4 linked regions of the Drosophila melanogaster genome follow. The protein of the gene in region 1 interacts with the protein of each later gene in a pairwise test. Each region holds a gene or a part of one and is shown in the gene's direction. Other genes may lie near its edges. The genes, in order: sina, CG2147, Rsph3 and CG12470.

Evidence for each region.
Region 2: the proteins of sina (region 1) and CG2147 interact in a two-hybrid assay, tested with the Drosophila melanogaster proteins (2 studies listed by BioGRID).
Region 3: the proteins of sina (region 1) and Rsph3 interact in a two-hybrid assay, tested with the Drosophila melanogaster proteins (2 studies listed by BioGRID).
Region 4: the proteins of sina (region 1) and CG12470 interact in a two-hybrid assay, tested with the Drosophila melanogaster proteins (2 studies listed by BioGRID).

What each region holds. Positions count from the first base shown.
Region 1 is NT_037436.4:16,852,178-16,859,256, forward strand, and holds sina (seven in absentia), read left to right. Parts: upstream 1-1,573; 5' UTR 1,574-2,348; intron 2,349-3,741; exon of another isoform or gene 3,742-3,807; intron 3,808-4,119; 5' UTR 4,120-4,240; coding exon 4,241-5,185; 3' UTR 5,186-6,535; downstream 6,536-7,079. Other genes in the region: Zcchc7 (zinc finger CCHC-type containing 7), read left to right, coding at 1-39; Rh4 (rhodopsin 4), read right to left, coding at 515-1,062. UniProt on the Drosophila melanogaster protein: E3 ubiquitin-protein ligase that is required for specification of R7 photoreceptor cell fate in the eye by mediating the ubiquitination and subsequent proteasomal degradation of Tramtrack (ttk).
Region 2 is NC_004354.4:8,239,092-8,242,003, forward strand, and holds CG2147 (uncharacterized protein), read left to right. Parts: upstream 1-1,592; 5' UTR 1,593-1,678; coding exon 1,679-1,793; intron 1,794-1,847; coding exon 1,848-2,230; 3' UTR 2,231-2,392; downstream 2,393-2,912. Other genes in the region: sni (sniffer), read right to left, coding at 2,487-2,912.
Region 3 is NT_037436.4:6,756,129-6,763,041, reverse strand, and holds Rsph3 (radial spoke head protein 3), read left to right. Parts: upstream 1-1,927; 5' UTR 1,928-2,151; coding exon 2,152-3,101; intron 3,102-4,931; coding exon 4,932-5,022; intron 5,023-5,107; coding exon 5,108-5,523; intron 5,524-5,587; coding exon 5,588-6,110; 3' UTR 6,111-6,413; downstream 6,414-6,913. Other genes in the region: Ist1, read left to right, coding at 6,638-6,819, 6,884-6,913.
Region 4 is NC_004354.4:305,994-309,485, forward strand, and holds CG12470 (uncharacterized protein), read left to right. Parts: upstream 1-1,690; 5' UTR 1,691-1,899; intron 1,900-2,096; 5' UTR 2,097-2,214; coding exon 2,215-2,802; 3' UTR 2,803-2,942; downstream 2,943-3,492.

The sequences.
Region 1 (7,079 bases):
CGAGCGGTCATTCGACTGCATTCCCTGATGTGCAACTGAGGATTAGCCAGGGTCATGGAATTTATTTCCTGGTGGGTCACCTTCATTTTGTTTAACAAATGCCAACAGATTTCACAATGGGTATCTTAAAGATATTACCCAAAAACCGAATAAATACATAACTGACTATTTTGAAAAAAAAACTCGATTTTATGATTTTATTAGGAATGAAGAGGCTCCAAATAACTGTGTAAATGTGTTTAGGATTTGAGTTGAATTTGTTATTTAATTTTTAAGTGTAAGTGTAGAAATAGTAACAAAATAATGACATCAAAGAACCGAATTTCAAATAAAAAACGGGACTCATTTTCTACTTCGTTTGCAATAAGTTACTATTTATTTATTTCAAACTCAAGAATGTCACACTACAAATTATAAAATTAATGTTATACAGTTTCGTTGTCGGCATTTTATACTTTTTCCTTGGCTTTCATGTTACATGGTCAGTTGTCTTAGAGTAGAGTTGTCCTTGGTTCTATGCAGCGGTAGTCTGTTGCTGCTCCTGGGTGGTCGTGGACTGCGCCGAAGAGATCTCCCCAGACTTTTCGTTGACTCCCAGCCAGGGACAGCGCTTCTGCAGCTCCAAGCGGTATCTGGGGTGACTTATGGCATAGACGAATGGGTCTATGCACGCCACCAGTTTGCAGGTGCAGGCCGGGATCATCGTGGCTCCTGGTGTAAGCAGACTCTTATCCCCGAATGCCCCGATCAGCGACATTACGCCGTAGGGCGTCCACGACACGAAGAACAGGAAGCAGATGGTGATAGCCGCCTTCGCAATCCGTATCTCCGCCGTCTCCTTGCTCTTGTCCACATTGGAGCGCAGCGACTCCACGTTCATTTTCTTGGCCTGCTCCCGTAGGGCCTTTTCGTGGCTGAAGACATGGCCCACGATCTGCGAGTAGTAGTAAAGGATCATCAGCGTGGGACACACGAAGCTGAAAAAGAAGATGGTGCCCACAAACAACCGGGTGTCAAAGTTGTCCGAAAGATAGTCGAAGGAGCAGGACGTGAGGTAGCCCTCTGGAAATGCATAAAAGTGAAGAAGATTAATGGGATTTTTGGTATTAGGATATTTATTTACTTCATATTCGTAAAACGCAATTTTACTCTTTCGTAAATTTGTTTCTTCGAATTTCCCGATCCAAACTAAGTTCTTAAACATTCCCGCCAATGATGTGACACAAGGTCAAGGTATCACCAATCAATATTTTTATTTAATTTTTTGTATTGCCTATATTATTTGATTGGAAATACTATAAATCATAAAAAAGTATTTATTAATGAATTATTTTAAAAATTAGGCTTTAGTTGTCAATAAGAGTAACAGACTACATTATTAACTTTGATCCTTTAAAAATTATGCGCCTGATTCGATTTGTATTATTTCAAAACTGATGTTTTCCTGTTATTAAATTAATTTGACAAACGTGGCAAGGCTGTTAAGTAATCGATGACAGCAATTGATAGCTACCAGGAGGCACTGCGATGTTGCCGATTGCGTGTAATCGACTATCTGGAATCGAATAGACGACAATTGGGGTTCCATCTCTGCAACCGACGCGGACATTAGAAGAAACTCAGTATAGTAAAGTAAATTAATTAATTAACCAGCTAAAGGCAGACATCACGCCCAAAGTACATGGAGAATGCCGAAAAAGACTGAATTCCACACCGCGCAAGGGCAAGTGCAATAAACGCCGACTGCGACGATCAAAGAACGCAATATAGAAAAAGTGAGACACACGAAAAAAACCCATTTCGCTGCCTGTGTGTAAATGCAAATGGTTTATTTTTGTGCAGCAACAACAACAACACAACATCAGCAGCAGCAGCAACACAGAGGCAGAAAAGGCGAAAATAACTAGTAAAGCTAAATATGAATAAATGTGTATGTGTGCGGGTCGCGTTAAAGAAAATTAGATAAAAAGCCAAATGAAATTAGCTCACGCCTGAATTTCGAGTTTCGGTTCGGTGCAAGGTGAACGAAAAGGCGAAAAGCAATCAAAACAGTTTTTCCATTTTCCCAGTGTGCGTGTGCAGTAGCAAAACCACCTGCATTGGTTATATATATATATGCGGTTAAAAAAATAACAAATTGCAACGTAAAAAACGGAACTTGCACCTAGGATATATACACACACATGCTGGCTGTATGCGTGTGTGTGTGTGCATGGCCGTAAAGGCTGACTGACTGATAAAAAAGGAAACAAAAAAATAACAAGAAAATAAAATATACACATACACACACACACCAACGCAGCGGGGCACCAATACCTCGGCACAATTTCTTGGAGGCAGCCTGCCATGTAAGTTTACATATCAACGATTATGTATTTCGCAGTTGTTGTTGCTGTTTAAACAGCAGCCTAGTCGCACTTAATGGCGGCATAAATTAAAGAAAGATAGTCGCATTTCGCTTTGCTCCGCAACTTACGTTTTCTATTTTACCATTTTGCAACTCATGAAAGCAGAAGCTAAGTTAATTATATTCATGGCTATGACTTTTGTGGCAATTACCATTTTTACCCCGTATGAACGTTTCCAACGGTACGCAACGTAAACGAACTGTTAATTATGTGTGTGCGATCTGTGTCTGTGTTGTAAGTGTGTGAGTTTCCCTCCCCGCGGCTGCCATCCCCTACCGCCACCCACCCCCTACACATCCTCGTTGCATTTGTTACGTTACGCACTCTTCATTACGATATTACGTTTATGCGGGCGATGGTACGAATTTCATAATGGCAAATGTTCAAATAATTTTTCCAATATATAGGGTAAAGTATTAAACATTTGTATGTTCATGCGTTTCATGTGTTTTTGTTTTGGGTTAATAAGGAAACATATTATTTATTTTTTAGGTTTGAGTTTGTTTTCGAATATAAACAATATTACTGAACTCCTTTCACACAAAATTTTGATAGCAATCATATAGCAAATATATTCCCGTTAGGAAAGAGAACAAGTTTTGTTTGTACATCAAAGCTAAACAATTACGAAAACTTTATATTATTATATTGATATTTATCTTATAAACGCACCAAAGCACCCACAGCATATTGTTCACACTAATGTGTGCCCATTCTGTCCAAAGTGGACAAACCCGTGAAACCGAACCACACCCATTACAACCAGCACGACACCCACCATCGCACAATCCCGCCATGGGTCGACGTCCCTAATGGCCGTCCATCAGCGTCGGCTCCGTCAGCTCCGCCTGATAAGAGCCAACATATTTGCGCCGTTCCACACGTGCCGCCAAGAGGCTTTTGGGCTTGGGCTCGGAGTTGGAATCGGAATCGGGCCTTCATTTCGATCGGAGACGTGACGGCGACCTCGGGCTGTGTCTTTGCTTTTCGCAGACCAACTCCGGTTCGATACGTTCCGCTTTAAGTAATTGCTTAAATGCAATTCCCATACACGCAAATGCGTGTGTTTTCTTTTTTCGGTAATTACAACAATTGGGAATCCACGGCAAGGTTAAGGCCAGGAATGATAAATCGCTTTGGCTTTTCTATTGGGCGGCACGAAAAACGAACTACCTAGTAGTAGTGATTACGCGAAATAAGTTTTAAATTAATAAGGCTCAAATTAAATTATTACAAATGGATAGTAGTTTTGCTGGGCAACATTTTTTATAGCAATCGAGTAGATTTTGCTTACACAGTTTGCATTCATTTCATTTCTATTACTTCATGGAAAAATATTTTTGCCTATTACTCATGTCCCAGTGGGCACAATAGTTTGGAATGAACATTCAAATCAATAGTATGCTCCGAACTTAAGCCGCAAAATCGATAGAAAGCTCATAACATATGTTCAAATTTAAACCAGCATTTATGCAGTGTGTTATACTGTGATTTTTTTTGTTGGTTGATATATGTTATTTTTGGATTAACTAAGCCTAATCGAAACAAACTATTTTTGTTAAGATATCTGTATGGTTTTGTAGGTTATTGTTTTTTGGAGTTTCTTATCACTGAACGAACAAAATTACAAAAAAAAGAAAAAAAAATTATACATATGCTATGACTAAATTGACCGCATTACTCACTGACCTGTGATTGTATCTCATTTTAGACAGAAGCACAAGAAAGCCATTGCCGAAGCCACCGGGAGGGCGAAGAACCTGAACCTGGCGAGAATTGCAGGGACCCAGAAGAATTGTAGACACATTCGTGCCGTTGCGAGAACCCTTCCAATGTCCAATAAAATCAACCCGAAGCGCCGCGAACCGACAGCAGCAGCAGCAGGAGCCGGTGCCACGGGAGTGGCCACCAACACGAGCACCTCGACCGGATCCTCCAGTGCCGGCAACACGTCCTCGGCCAACACATCCTCGTCGTCCAGCTCCTCGCTGTCGTCCGCCGGTGGCGGTGATGCGGGCATGTCCGCCGACTTGACCTCGCTGTTTGAATGCCCCGTGTGCTTTGACTATGTGCTACCGCCGATCCTGCAGTGCTCCAGCGGGCACCTGGTGTGCGTGTCCTGTCGCTCCAAGCTCACCTGCTGCCCCACCTGCCGCGGTCCGCTGGCGAATATCCGCAACCTGGCGATGGAGAAGGTTGCCTCGAACGTCAAGTTCCCGTGCAAGCACTCCGGCTACGGATGCACCGCCTCGCTGGTTTACACGGAAAAGACAGAACACGAGGAGACGTGCGAGTGCCGGCCCTACCTGTGTCCGTGCCCGGGCGCCAGCTGTAAGTGGCAGGGCCCGCTTGACCTAGTCATGCAGCATCTGATGATGTCGCACAAGAGCATCACAACGCTGCAGGGCGAGGACATCGTGTTCCTGGCCACCGACATCAACCTGCCCGGCGCCGTCGATTGGGTAATGATGCAGTCCTGCTTCGGCCACCATTTTATGCTCGTGCTGGAGAAGCAGGAGAAGTACGACGGACACCAGCAGTTCTTTGCCATCGTTCAGCTGATCGGGTCGCGCAAGGAAGCGGAGAACTTTGTCTATCGCCTGGAGTTGAACGGAAACCGACGCCGGCTCACCTGGGAGGCAATGCCGCGTTCGATCCACGAGGGCGTCGCTTCCGCAATTCACAACTCGGACTGCCTGGTGTTCGACACGTCGATTGCGCAATTGTTCGCCGACAATGGCAACCTGGGCATTAACGTGACCATATCTCTGGTCTAAACGCACTGTCAATTCGTCGGGTTCTTTCATTTCTTGTGTTTACTATTCCGATACAAATACATATATAGTTTATAGCCCTCTGTTCGCATCAGGCGTCTAACTCGTGGACAGATTGTGAGTCTGGAGATTAAGAAGAAAGAGTTTTGCAGAGTTGTTTTATAAAAATGATTCTCTATTCTAAGAGCCACTTACATGCATATGTATATATATCTATGGAAATATCAGGCTGCTTCGATTATCACATTCGGCACGATATCGCAGTTTTCTTTGATTTTTAAGCTAAGACACTCACAATTTTCCAAAGCGAAATGGAAAGCGTATTAAAGCAATTGCTAAGTGATGTTCAGTGTTTATTGCACACGTTCGTTAAACCTGTAAAACCGCGTTTAAAATTCGTATTTTCATTTTTAGTTTGCACATGACTGTGTGTAAATCTCACTCGTTTGCAGAAAAATGCCAAATATTTTTGGTGAGATTTCGCAGATTTGTATAACACACTTTCCTGTCGAATGCGAAAATCGTGGCTGACCTGTATGTTTGTATGTTTAATCGGTTCGATTGGTACTCTAGTTCTAGGACATGATTTTTCAGTTACCGCACACACAATACTATATATTTCAAAGTTTCAGTGTTACCCGTTTTGTTAGTTCATGGGGTTCTGCTTTAGTTTAATTTAGTTCGTAAGGTCCACACACCTGGAGCAGAGCTGCCTGCGCGTGCCCACGTGCCCACCACCTACTACAGTGAACGCTAGGAACACACAGACCCACTCACCAAAACGAGGAGAACAGCAAGAAAGGCGAGGAGGTCACTCATCCACTCGAACATGTACTGCAAAGTCTAGTTTAGTTAATGTAAATTATTTTATACAATACTTGTAAATGGTAATAAGTAAAACGAACAGTTTAACGAAATTAACAAACCTAATAACCCACAAAGAAAAGTAATATTTGATAGCGATAATCTGTAATAACTCGAGAGTTGTTTGAAAGTTGCAGCCTAAACGAAACTGCGACCCGCAATTTTGTTCATGCCAAACCATCACAAAATAACAAAAACACACTAAAAAAAAAAGAAAACATTTTTTTTCGCAATGCTAAAAAGACAGTTGCCCCTTCCCATTTCCCCCCAAGTCCCCCCAAACATATAAAGCAATGTTAATGTTTAAATTTCTATCTAGTTAAGACGATCTCCCCGGTTTGGCTCATGTTTTGGTTTTGATTTCCATTCGGCCAACGTTTCCCAATCGAAAACGGAAGAAAAATTAATGATTTTAAGCATCTGCACCGTAATTAGCTTTTAATGCGCCGATTTACCGCGCCACTACCATATGAGATCACTCACACAGACACAAAACTACAAAACTGAAATAAACATGATTAGTAAAAGTAAACAATGCTCGTTAATTATTGAAATTAATCTGGGGGAAGCTGAATTACAAAGAAGAGCTACGCCACTTTATAAACTTGTCGATTTAAATCAGTTATCTGTTTAATTTGGATTATCTTTGAGATACTTGGGTTACTTCTAATGCGTTTTAAAACGTTGCAATAATAGATGGCACAAGTTTTTAGTGGTGCACCGCCGAAGCATCTTAAAGATTTAGCTGGATTGGTATCTTACTAGGATACTTAGGCCAATTTCAAAAATAAATTTTTAAGCTGATTTTAAAATGATTTAAAGCAAGTAGGCTCCGAAGTAAAAGTAGCTCATTATACTTTTAGCTTCGTTGTATTGTGGTACAGATTGTATTTTCGAATTCTTTTAAGCAAAATTTCAGTGTTCAGAAAAAGTAAAAAAAAAGTAAAACCATCGGCACTCTCATTCTTCAGAATCGTTTGGTTGTTAGGTCTTAGGATTAATAGCTTGCGCATTGATTGTTGGCTGAAGCACA
Region 2 (2,912 bases), on another chromosome or scaffold:
AGAGCCAGAACAATCCGTAGGCAGCTGTGCGAGGGGAGATCGATCCGTCGGATATAGATTCATATTCATCTTCAGATTCAAATTCAAAAGCAGAATCAGAAACATACAGAGAAACCGAATCAGAAGCGCAGATACAGATGCAGATGCAAGTGTTGCAATTACGTAATCTATTTACTTTATAAAATATATACTATACGGATATACATACACATAAATTATAAATCGAAGCGTACTTAATACAATTAATTTTTAACAAAACGAATGCAAGAGCAAAGTGAAAACTAAGAAATAAAACCGTTCATAAGAGAGAAACAACAAAATCAGTAAGTCATTGCCAAAAAAAAAAAAAACAAGAAAAACGAGAAAAACAAAAAGAGTTAAATAAATGAGAGTGTTAGATGAGGAGAGTTAGGAGAATCACTTAGAAAAAAACCACTCCACGAGCGAAATTGTTAAAAACAAAAACGGAAACGGAAAAACAAAATACTTAGCCAACTTTAAGCACTGTAAGATAATGGAAAACCCAATAAACGAATGCAAATAGTAAGCCGGAAAGAAAATGAACAGGCTAAGGTATCCGAAACAAAAGCAAAAACAAAAGGAAAATCGAAAAACGAAAAACAAAGTAATTCCCAAGTAAATGTTGTTGTAATTAATTATTTAAACCAATTCGTCTAGAGAGAGAACAGGGATGGCAGGGCGGCAGATCCAGTTGGTTTCAATTCCAACCACAACTAACTAACTAGATATACCGTGCATATAGAGATCTATACAAATTCCATTGAGCAGCAGCTAAAAACCAGAATTTTATATTAAAAGAAGTGTGGGTCAAGTAAAATAGCAAACTATGTTACGCAATGTTGAACACTTGAAAGTTTCTAAAAGCGAATGATATCTAATATACCTTAAAATCTACATATACGGTGTCCCGCTTGCCATTTCCATTTCGATCCATTTGCTAGATGGCTGCACTTGCCAGATTATCCCTGTATCCTTTGAGTCCTCGAGATCATATTTCGATCTGATGGACTAATAATGGATTCTTGGTAGAGTTTGAATTGAAATCGGAAATGGTAGCGGGGCAAGTAATAATAAAATTCAAAAAACAATTTTTTTTTTGTAGTCCACAAGGTATAAAAAAATGTGTGTGCAGTAAATCTGTTTAAGTTTTTATTTATGTATGTGTGTGGTGTAGCAAAACTAAACTAAATACGAAACAAATACCTAAAGAAAAACAAAGCGGATTGCAAAATAGGCACGGTTTAATAGCCATTGTACGAAATTAACGACATTTATGAGTAACCCTAACGCAAAAATGCGGACAAAGTCAGATGAAATAACAATATTAATAATAATAAAAAAAATCGACAAACCAAGAAATATAAACTTCAGATTGCGTTTTTCTGGGTGGCAAGTTGATAAAAACATTTATAAAAACCAAATCAAGAAATTTAGAAGTTGCTTCCAGTTTTTAAAAAGTGCGGGCTTTCCGTGAAATTTATTTGTTAGTACCGATAGTTTTCGATAGACTAAATTGAACATATCGATGTAGCACAAAGCCCGATACGTCAGGCGAATGAGTCTTGTTTTTGTTTTAGTGAAGCTAAAATCGTTTTGTTTCCGTTGTCAAAATCCAGCAGTGAGAAGGGAGCGGCACAATTAGAATAAAGAAGCCATCATGGATCCAACACCGCCGCTTCGTGCCACCAATAGTATTAACCCACAGCAGGTGGCAAGCGTTCCACCGCCACCGCCAACGGGGCAAATCATAGCTCCATCGGGAGCGTTTCCTGGTGAGTTGATTCCGCTTTCAAATCGTGCCAAGGCTAAACTTTTCCATCGCACAGGATCCCTGACTCCCGGCTGGAATGACCCGCCACCCATTTCGGCGGATTCTCAGAGCTGCAAATTAAACAATAGTCGTCCACGCCTAGATCTTCGCAAGCGCGTGGCCCACCCGCTGGACGGGAAGTCCTCTAGTGTCCAGCTGGTTCAGCCACAACTATCAATACCTACAGCACAAGATTCAATCTCGCCGCGTCCCGTGGCCCTGGTAACACCCCAGCGCCAGATTCCATATCCGGATCCCAACAATCCACCGGCCGGTGGAGCGGATGTGGGCGGTTTCGGAGCGGGACCAAATGCCAATGCCGTGCGCCTGCCACCGTTGGCCCACAGCATCAGCATCGATCCCTCCAGGGTGGCCAAGGTTCCACCAAGAACCAAATAGCATGTAGTTATCGCCAATTCAGGGCCTAGGCTAAGGAACTTCAAATTAATGTGTTCTATGGCGGGCTGGAAAATCAATTATTTTTCTATGTAAAACACTTAAGACACCTCACAAAATACAATCAGAAATGCGAATGATGGGGGGACGGGACCTCTAAAAAGTAAACCCAAGCGTTTCTTGACTTTAGGAGTCCAGTTTATTCAACAACAATTAACAGACAGAAACAAAATGCAGGTAAACTAACCGCTGTCATCGTTTACCAGGCCAGCGGAGTGCCGTCGTAGTTGACAAAACCGCCGTTCTGTTTCTCGCCCAGCTTGCTGATGGTCTGCACAATTTGTCCCGTGCTGGTGGGCACGTCCAAGGGGGCACTGGAGCCACCCATGTCGGTTTTCACCCAGCCAGGATGCAGACTGACGCACATGATGCGTTGCGGATACAGATCCACGCTCAACGACTTGGTGGCCGCATTCAAGGCCGACTTAGAGGTGCGATAGGCGTACATTCCGCCGTCCGTGTTGCCCTGGATGGAGCCAAGGATCGAGGACATGTTAATAATGGCGGCACGGCCCACGCCCATCGGCTGGGATTCGTTCGCTTTGGCTGCCTTCTTAAGGAGCGGCAGACACGCCTTGGCCAGCATGATGGGCACAACCGTGTTGGTCTGCAAGGTGTCGAGCAG
Region 3 (6,913 bases), about 10 Mb from region 1:
ACCGAGGTCACCGAGATGCAGCTCAAGTGGCACGAGAATCCTTGTCCAGCGCCACCATGCAAACAGGCATTTTGGTGGGCCAGCCATCCCAAGCCGATCAAAATCAAAGGTTGCCCCAAGTAAGTATCAAACAGAAGCCACCCAAAGAATTTCCCATGCTTCCCTGTAATTCCCTGTAATTTAAGTCCGACAAGTAGGGTATATTGAATATTTCGTAAAATTATATTATAATATTAATCAACTTTCTTACTTTCTTTGTAATTTATATAATATATAATAATTCAATAAGTAGTTAAGAAATCATTTATACGCTACAAATATGAACCATTAGAAATTGTAAGCTCGAGTTAATTATCATGGGTATTACTCCTCTTGTAATGAGTATCCTATAGTTGCAAAACCATTGCTTTTTGTAACGCCTTGCAGGGGAATTTTCTACACCTTTATATGTCTCCCCACTGGGGTCAATGGAACCCAAGACCAAAAACGAAAGTCATAAATTGCGTAAATAAATTATTAAACGCTGGCCGTGTTCGGCTGATGGTCAATACAATGGCCCCACTAAAGGACACGCAAACTTGGTACGATTTTGAATAGAAACATTCGTGTTCTGAAGGGAAACAATAGAAGGAGTGCACAGGACAGGAAATTATGAGGAGTGTGGAAGTCGATGAGTGCTTAAAACTATTGTAGAAATTGACGCACTAGTATCATAAAAATATACAAATATATCTGACTACCGATAATGACGGGGGCTGGACTTGGGTCGGATTAAGGTCAACCAGGGAATAAGGATGATCCCCAAATATGATAAAAACCCAATAAACTATAGTGTATCTAAATCCAGTTGTAGTAAAGTGCTCATTCTTCTCTCAAGCTAAAAATCGAATAAATACTACAGTGTGGTATATCTTATATCTTATCATTTATTCGAATATATTAGTACATCAATTCTGAACTGTATATGTTCAAATTAGGATAAGAATACCGTGCTTTAGGTCAGCCAACGAATTTAATCATATAGAAGTATGATTGAGTGAAAGAAAATTACCTTTTTTAACAACAGGCTTTACCAAAAGCTTTTGGACTTCTGATACATTCTTACCAATTCCTGTTACAATAATCTTTCATCTATTCACTGACCTTTCTTCATTGCCAGTAAAAAAGAGTGACTCCTTGGAGTGCCAAGAAATCTACTTAATTATGCTTAGTTCCCTGTTGAATTCCGCTTATCAGGCAGTCCAAGCAATTGACCTTGGCCATTGACAATACCTAGGAGGTGTTCCAAGTAATAGAGAGCCACCCACCTCCTTTTTCAATGTCAGGCAGGGAAATGCGTGAAGTCATCTCCGACAATGTGAAAGGAAATGTGGACACCATCGAAACAAATTCAAGGTCCCTCCGCCGGGCGAAACCTTTAATTGGAGACCCCAACGAAACTACTTGGATGGAAAAGAAAAAGCTCTTATGCAAAGTAGAATTCCTGGGAACGTGGATTTGGCCATGCCAATGCCACCGACTGTTAACAGTTCGCATTATTATTGCAACACCTGCCCATCATGTGCCTCAAACTGCGAAGCAAGCGATACACTCAGAAAAAAATTTGAAAAATATGTGTATATAGTATAGAAACTTACATTGTGGCACGCACGCGAAGTATTGTTATTTAAACTTATGAAACAGCAACATGAATAGTTTAAATATGCAATTTTCTATATAAACCAATTGCAGCACTTTAAGGATATTTTTACTAAAAATGTCCTTTGAAGTAACAGCTCAATTCCTGGAAAGCTTTAGTCGTGGGCAGTAGGAGACTATATGTTCCACATATTTTTCCAACTGCACGACGACTGCTGACCACGGGCCGAATCCAAAGTCGAAACCGGGTCCGAGCGCGAGTTCCACGAGTCCTGCGAGTCCTTTGGTCATTTGGCGTTTGCCATTCGAGCCGTGCGGTACGTGTTCCGCGACAAAATCAAACAATCAACCAACGAACGCAACACCTGAGCGGCGCACAAAAGGGAAAAATATAGGAAAAGTATTGATTAAGTTTTTCGGTGCGGCGGGTGAGAGAACCGTGTGGTGGCTATTTATAATGAACGAGGTGACCGGCGGCCGGGAGCAGGGATAACCGAGACGGTAGCGGAGACCATGCCAGAGACGGAGCAGCAGCAGCACCCAGCACACTCACATCCTGAACTTAAGCCAGATCCACAGCCAGTGCCAGAACTGGAGCACCTCACCGACAATAGACCGAATCGCGTGCAGAACTTCTCCTTCGCCAGCAGCTATCCCTACGCACCAGGACGCGTCTCGTCCAGCTCCAATTCGAACACCAACTACAGCTCCACCAACTACAACGCCGGCGGCTTCAACGTCCAGCGCTATCAGAGTCCCTACAATTTCCAGCACGTGGTGACCAACGCATTCTCGGTGCTGCGCCATCAGCCCTCCGAGGAGCCCGAATTCGATTCCTATCCAACGCGACCCCAACAGGCCATCGTGCGTCCGATTAGACGTGAGGCGGGCATAGCTGATAACCGTGATAATCATGTAGGGAATCCTCCACAGCGATCGCACTTCTCGCGCAGCAACCAGGAGGTGCGCAGCTTCGCCGATGAGCTGAGCCAGAAGCTGCGCTTCCTGGCGCCGGAGGAGCAGAACTACGGCGGTCGCCAGAGCGCCAATTCCGGTGCCTGGATGGATCCAGCGATGTCGCAGCGACCACGATTCGAGACCACAGTGCCGCAGGGCATCTTCCTGCCGCCTCCGCATGAGGTCCAAATGATACCGGCCACCATGCTGAGGAGGCATGTCTACGCCTACTCCTCATATCCCATGATCCTCCAAGGGTATCTCACCAAGGAGACCGGCAGTGAGAGCAAGGAGCAGAAGGTGACCGCCACCCGGCTGAACGGTTTGCGTGCCACGGCGGCAGTGGCGGCGGCCACAGCTGCGGCCTCCAAATCCTCCCGTAACGATACGCAATCCCTCGCCGGTGGACTCCACATCACCAAGGCTCAGTTCCAACAACAACTGCAACAGCGTCGCTCCACCAGCAACAACAACAACAACAGCAGCAGCAACATCAGCGACAAGAGGTAATAAAAAGACCAACCCCCAAAATGGTATGGGTGCTAAACTTGGAAGTAAAAAAAAAAAAGGTGGGAAGTGGAAAAGGTCCGACAACTGACCAAGGCAAAGTGGGCCAAAATATATTACCATAAATTCAAATGAGTAATACGTACGTACCTACACTGCCATTCTGCAATGGAACCAGAACTTAGCTCCCCACTTCAGTTCCTACGGCCATTATCGATTGACACCCAAACAATTCAATTACAAATAGGTTTTGTGGTTTAAAGTGCCGAATTGAATCCTTCAAGGATTTGTTATCTAAACTGATATAGATTCAAGATGATACCTTATTGATCTGTTTTTAGACTTTACTATGACACGCAAATAGAATGGAAGGCTCTTCATCAGCCAAGTTTCTTGTGTGGCTCACCCACTTTCACAATTAACTCTTTAACAATTCAATTAGAAATGCTTTTCCAATAACATTCGGACATTGTAAATTCCCTGAACGGTTTGATTAATTTATTTAGCGCATTCTCGAATGGGAAAACTCGTTTGCCTTGCATAAAAGAACATGCGAACAAATGGACAAATGGACAAAGGGACAAAGGACCCTCGAATGTGTCGTGCCAGCGGAGAATATTCTATATTCCCAGCTCGGGGCTTAAATAATTTAAATCAAGATTTCGTAAACAACAACAATATGTACCCATTGTACCAAAGCACAAATGGAGGGATATTAAGTTCAATTACCACACCAGAGAAGAAGGACACCTATGGCACAATAATAAAAAAAAAAAAAAAAACAAAAAACAGGTCCTGCCGGTCGTTTTTACCCAAATGGGATGTTGTTCGGCCAAATGGGCTATACTTTTTGGGTTACGAAAAATGAAATATCACACTCAACGTTTAAATAAAGAACCTATTAGGGAGATAACTATTTTATAACTCAAAAAGGATTCACCAACTTAGATTTTCGTTCAGACCATATATCCCTCATAAGGACATCGCACTAAGGGTTTCCCGTTCCATTTGCTGATGTCTGTGGTGCGCAGACCCAGACCCAGAGAAATGTTGTTAGACATTCGCCAGCAACTTCAATGTGACTTCCTGTTTGTGGGCCAAAAGTAGCTGCGAATTTGCATAGGTCACGAGTTCAGGTGCCAAGTTCTTCTAGTGCAATGTCTAACTACGTTATATACTACTTCTACTCGCAGTCAGCATGTATGTATCAGCATATATGTAGAAATGTAAGAAATGTTTGTTTCCCCATTTACTTGCCGGTGCTATACATATAAATTAGCAAGTCATAAATTACTCAGCCACCGCGGACTGGACTCGTGGAACTTTAAGCAGGCTTTAAACTCTGACCCAAAAGTGTACTGAACTTTGGCGAAATTGATTCGAATCGGAGATGACCTGACAAGCAGTCTGCGAGGGCGTTGGGAAATGAACAAATTTGATGTTTATCGCCTTGATAGTGCAACAGATTTGGGTCTTGGCAAATGCAGCAAAGTGCACTGAAACTGCAGCAAATCAAAACTAAATAAATAAAATATTTAAACTTTAATAGAAAGAAGTTAACAAATCTAAAGATAACTAAAACTCATACACTTTTAACTTGCTTTTCCAGCAGCAATTACAATATTTATCCATACATAGATATCATATTTATTAGAGAACTTAACCATTTATGTAGTAATCCTTTTAAGTTGCACATTTACGAACCTTTTCAAAAAGTCTGCAGCTTTTTTGCTGCATGAGCAGTTTGTTGAACTGGGTCGAGGCTTACTAATTGGTGGCTCCCACCTGGGCAACTCCATGCCCGCTTCTCCACTTTGCTCCTCTTGCAGACCCGTCGTCCCGCCGCCGGAACCCTACAAGAACGTCATGTACGACCGTCGCGTCATAAAGGGCAGCAACTTCGGCAACGCCTCTCTGGTGGTAAGTCCCATCAGTTCAGCTCAGCTTAGCTCAGTGCTCTGGCAGCCCTGACCTACGACTAATCCACTTTTTGCTTCCTCTCCAGACGGATGTGGATCCCTTCGACAAGGCCGCCGAATTGAGGCGTCGCAATATGTTGCGCAAACGGACGATGCAGTGCCGCAATCAGAGAAATGTCCTGGGCACACCGCCGCCGGTCAAGGGGCGGAAGCACGAGACCATACAGACGGAGAAGTATCTGGAGAAGTTGGTGCAGCGTCCGCCGGAGTTCACCATCGACACGCAGACGGACCTGTTCCTCGAGAAGCCGCCGACGCCTCCGTTCATACCGGCCAAGGTGGGCGTGGATGTGGCCACCGAGATCGGTGAGGGCGAACTCTTCCACTTCGATGCCGAGGCGCAGCCAATCATCGATGTCCTGGTGGACGCCTGCATTGAACAAAGCATGCTGGAGGTGGCTCACGAGATGGAACTGTCCAGTCTGCGACGCAAACAGGAAGAGTACGTATAAAAAGTGTAAAGTAAATCTTCAGATTACTATAATGGCGTTTTGTGTTACCCACAGATTCCTGGCCCAGAGGGAGGCGGAACTGGCCGAGCTGCGCCGTTTGGAGGCTGAGGAGCTGCGCTTGCAGGCGGAGAAGGAGCGTCGCCTGCGACAAGATGCGATTGCCAAGGAGCTGGACGCTGAGATGCAGAAGAGCGTGACGGCGGCCAAGTTGCTCCAGGGACACATTGCCAGTCTGGTGCCGGAGGTGCTGGAGAACATTGAGCCGGCCAGCGATGCCGTTAAGAAGGAGCAGCTTATGAAGAGCGTCTGCCCGTGGTTGTCCGCCGAGGTGGCCGAGGAAGTGGGCCATATAGTGGACTCGCGCGAGATTCTCACCGCCATCATTCAGGAGATTATCAAGCAGCGTGCCGAGATCTATGCCGGCTACAAGGAACCTGAATCGGAACCATCCGGACCGGATGCGGGCGTTTGTGAGGAGGAGGGCTGTGCCATCGATGAGATGGAGGCGTGTCCCTGCGAATCGGAAACGGAAATGGAGGAGTGCCCCGAACCGCCACCACCGGCTCCTCATCTCTAAGTGATTGCGTTCGAGTTTTAGTTCATATATATATTTCGAGTGGGATACTGATTCCGCACACATGTAACACTAACACACTCCTGCTATTAAATCAAGGTTGGCTGCAACTTTGTGGTTGTGTCTGGTGAAGAACTCAATTCGCCGCAGGATTCGAATCGAGCCTGGGCGCCAAACACAATTGCATAGCGGCGGCGGCGAAATGGCATCGAAAAAATGGAATGGCATATTGTAAACTGGATACTTGTTAAAGGTTTTTGTGTTACCGAAAATTCAACCAATAAAGCTCAACAAAATAAGCCGAACAAAACATTTTAGAAAATATTTTAAACGGTTGTTAAATTAAATTAAAATATTAATAGAGCCAAGCAATTTGAAATTTCAATGTTACCTTGGTATTTAAGGGGTCTGCATGTACGGTCACACTGCACGTGACGTCACATTGTTTTTTCCATACCGAATTAATGAATCACCACTGACCGAATTTCCTTGTTTTCACAACTAATTCGGAAGTCCAGGGTGTAGTGAAGATGTTTTCCAGCGGCCCCAATTACAACAAACTGAAGACCAATCTTCGATTGGCTCTCAATCGCCTGAAATTGCTGGAGAAGAAGAAGGCGGAGCTGACGCAAAAGTCCAGGAAGGAAATAGCCGACTATTTGGCCACGGGCAAAACGGAAAGGGCGAGGATTCGCGTGGAGCACATCATTAGGTGGGTGCAGGAATATATGAGCCATTCTTATACCTCCATATATCGTATATATCGTACATCATAGGGAGGACTACTTGGTGGAGGCAATGGAAAT
Region 4 (3,492 bases), on another chromosome or scaffold:
TTTTACTTGGCTTTTGACCCAATGCCTTGGACCTTGTTCTTATTTTTTGTTTGCCCTAGACTCGTTGGCGTCGACTTTTAGGTTGTTGCACTTTGGTACCACAGTTATCAAAATTTCGATTGCTCTATTTTATTGCTGTATTTTATTTTGACCGATACAACTGCAGGATAGCCCATGTGTAAACAATCAGCAAACCATTTGTTATATTCCTGCAGTGAATGAAGATTAATTTCAGTCATAAAAAAAGAAAGGGAAGGCTACCGGAGAGGTGCTAAATAACTCCGCTCTCTGAGATAAATTATGCGCAATTTCTCCTCTGCAAACTTATTCAGCACCTTAAAGCTTAAGTACTCCAAACTAAGCTTTCGCGGCTTAAAGCTAAAAATCTTTATTTTATGATAAAAAGCTCAATTTTATGAGCATGTACTTTTTTACGTTTTTAACATGCCGTTTTTTTTTTTAAGAAGGACTTGGACATCTGTATAAGGCAACATATCCATGTGAATTTACAAGGAGAAAACGATTCAGTCGATCTTGTCGGCTTACAGATACGTGTTACTACTCCGCTAGAGGAAGTGCGTTGGAGTTGGATATATGTAGATAACATATCGATAGATTTACAAAATTAAATTTTCAAATGTGTCGGCGTGGCAGTTTTGGGGGGTTTGGGGGCCTTAGAGTGGGCGTGGTAATATTTCAACAAACTTGCGCTGGTTCTGTCTCTAGAATATGTATGCTTAATATAAACCTTCCAGCTTTTATAATTCCTGAGATGTCGACGTTATACGGCCGGACAGACGGACAGTGCCAGATCGACTGGGCTATTGATACTGATCAAGAATATATAAACTTTATATGGTCGGAAACGCTTCTTTCTACTTGTTACATACATTTTCAACGAATCTAGTATACTCTTTTAGTCTGCAAGTAACGGGTATAAGAAGTATAATTTGAACTGTATAAAGGTTAAACTGTATGTAGGTTAAAGTACTTATGCGGTAAATGAATCTTATTTCTAGTACTTATCTAATCATCCCACATTAAAGCAACTGATTAAATAATACCATTGAAGATTGCACACATTTGTATATAGAGAGTGGGAGAGAGCGATATCTTCCTCCATATGGGTATCCTAAACCTGCCGACTCACGTTTGCCGGCATGACAGGTTGGGTTACCCCATTAGCTGAGAATTTCTTTTTGATGAAGCAATAATCGAAGGAGTGTTTTCTTTTGGATTCGTATTCGTTTGATACCGCTGTGAGCCATAAAATGTAACCCATTAGGTTAGTATGGTTGCGATTATAATGGTGGTGTCATCATCATTTAGCCAAAAACCTGAGATTTATTCCACTGGTCCATTCATAAAAGGCCATCATTTGAAGCTTAGATAATGTTTAATTAATAAATACGCGTTTTTCGTATTTCAATGGTACTTTTATCGTATCAGATATTTTTTTTAATATTTCCATATTTTTCTTCTTCCAGCAGATAAAGGAAAGTAGTAGATTTAGTTGTCCCTTAAGTTGTGATACAACGATAATTGAATAAAATAAGAACTGGCAATTATATATGCATTAAGCTGTTTACGAGCACCAAACGTAGCCTACTCTGGGTTGGTTTATTAAATAGAATGGCTTTCTTACTTTTTTTTAGATCACGTTGCTTTGCTGAAACTGTCAGTATTTGGACTTGGCTATCACCAGCCATATGGCAAAACATCAGAAGTAAAATTGTCTGTGAACACACAAAGCACACGAAAAAATCTCGGAAAAAAAACTGTACAAAATTTAACTTCGCTCTCGACCAGATTTACAAAATTTTTTTTTTGGCCAAACTTAAAATTAGGAATACAAGAGAACGGTGTGTGTACCAAAATCAAATCGTGTTTAGCTAGTTGGTGAGTCTTATTGGAAGCTCGGCATATTCCGAATATTACTGAAATTTTTTCCCCATTTCCGAATTGCATTTGGTTTCACATGACATACGCACACAATTGGAAGTCGTAATTCTATATGTGTGGGACAGTGTTTACTGAGTATTTGGTTGGGGTTAACTTAAGAATTAATATTTTTTTTTTTTAAATGCGTATTTCAGACGTCAGGATATATGCTACTTTGATTCGTTAACTATTTTCAAGTGATCGGAAGCAAACGCAGAGGCATTTCTAATTTGTGCGTTGCGCGACTTTCAGAGATCGTAGACTCGATTAACCATGGGTAAAAAGGGCAAAGGAAAGAAGGGCAAGAAGCCCGCCGCAGTTGTGGCTCCCATCGAAGCGCCACCATGTCCTCCGTGTCCGGAACCACCAAAGCAGATGCAACCACTTGACGCTTGTCCAGAGTCTAGCGGACCCCACGATGTCCTTCGGGCTCAACCGAATCATTACCCGGCTCTTCTTCGTATTCCGGAAACAATGGCGGTGGTGGGCTCTGAGAATGGATGCTACGATAGCATTTGCAAGCTCCTGAGAGCCGGATTCCGGTGTGCCGAGCGGGTTTTCGTGATGGCCCCTTGGGGCAACTACGTGGTTTTCCGGTATCACAACAATAATGACTTTATTTACTTCCTGTTTGATGGATGCACCTGCGATGTTAATAGGTTCCGCTATCTAGACCTCAGCTGCGGAACTGCTGGATTTCTTTTCTTCGATAATATGCACGACGTTATTAGTTATATTATCCAGTCTCGAAAGACGCGTCTATATCTGGAGAATCTAAACAAGATTGCCATTGATCAGATTGTGGAGGAGTATGGCGCTGTAACGTACACCCAAAAGGCAAAATGCATGCGATTCGCTTAAATAGGTCCCATATGATTTCTAACAAAAGAGGGCAACGCATACACAACGAGGATAATACTGGACGACAAGCTTTGCTCTAAACATTTAACATATTTTGGCACAATCTTTATCAATAAATAATAATCTCTTTGAAAGCAACTAAAACAAATTTGCATAGCTCTAATACCAATAGCGGTGATAGCGATATACCAAAGCGTTTATTTTGCATGTCGAAGTTAATCCTTTTGTAGAGTTTTGCTGGGAAAGTTGAGGTTAGCGTACGATCAAAAGAAGTTAAATAACAATAGTCGACATAAATTATTGCAATATTACTGTGGATAAAATACAAATCGTAAATATAATATCAAAAATTAGAGACTTACAGGGTGTGAGAATTTTGTCAATTAGAGTACAGATTCCAAGTCGATTAGCGTTCGATTAATTCCATTCATTTGAGTGGTATGGAAATTATGCATGTGCATCATTTTGCTAATATTCGGCTCAAAAGAATGAAGCGGAGGATTCCAGCTTAACGTGCACAACAAATCCCTCAAATTATTATTGCTTGCTACAAAATGAAAAAAGAAGAAACCCAATAGAAACAAGGTGAACCTTCCAAGTAAGGGGTCAATTTTTGGAGGCCCATGGATTGCGAAAACCGCAAAGCATTTGCAATAAAGTGCCAAACAAGCGCCGGCCACACGATATTTG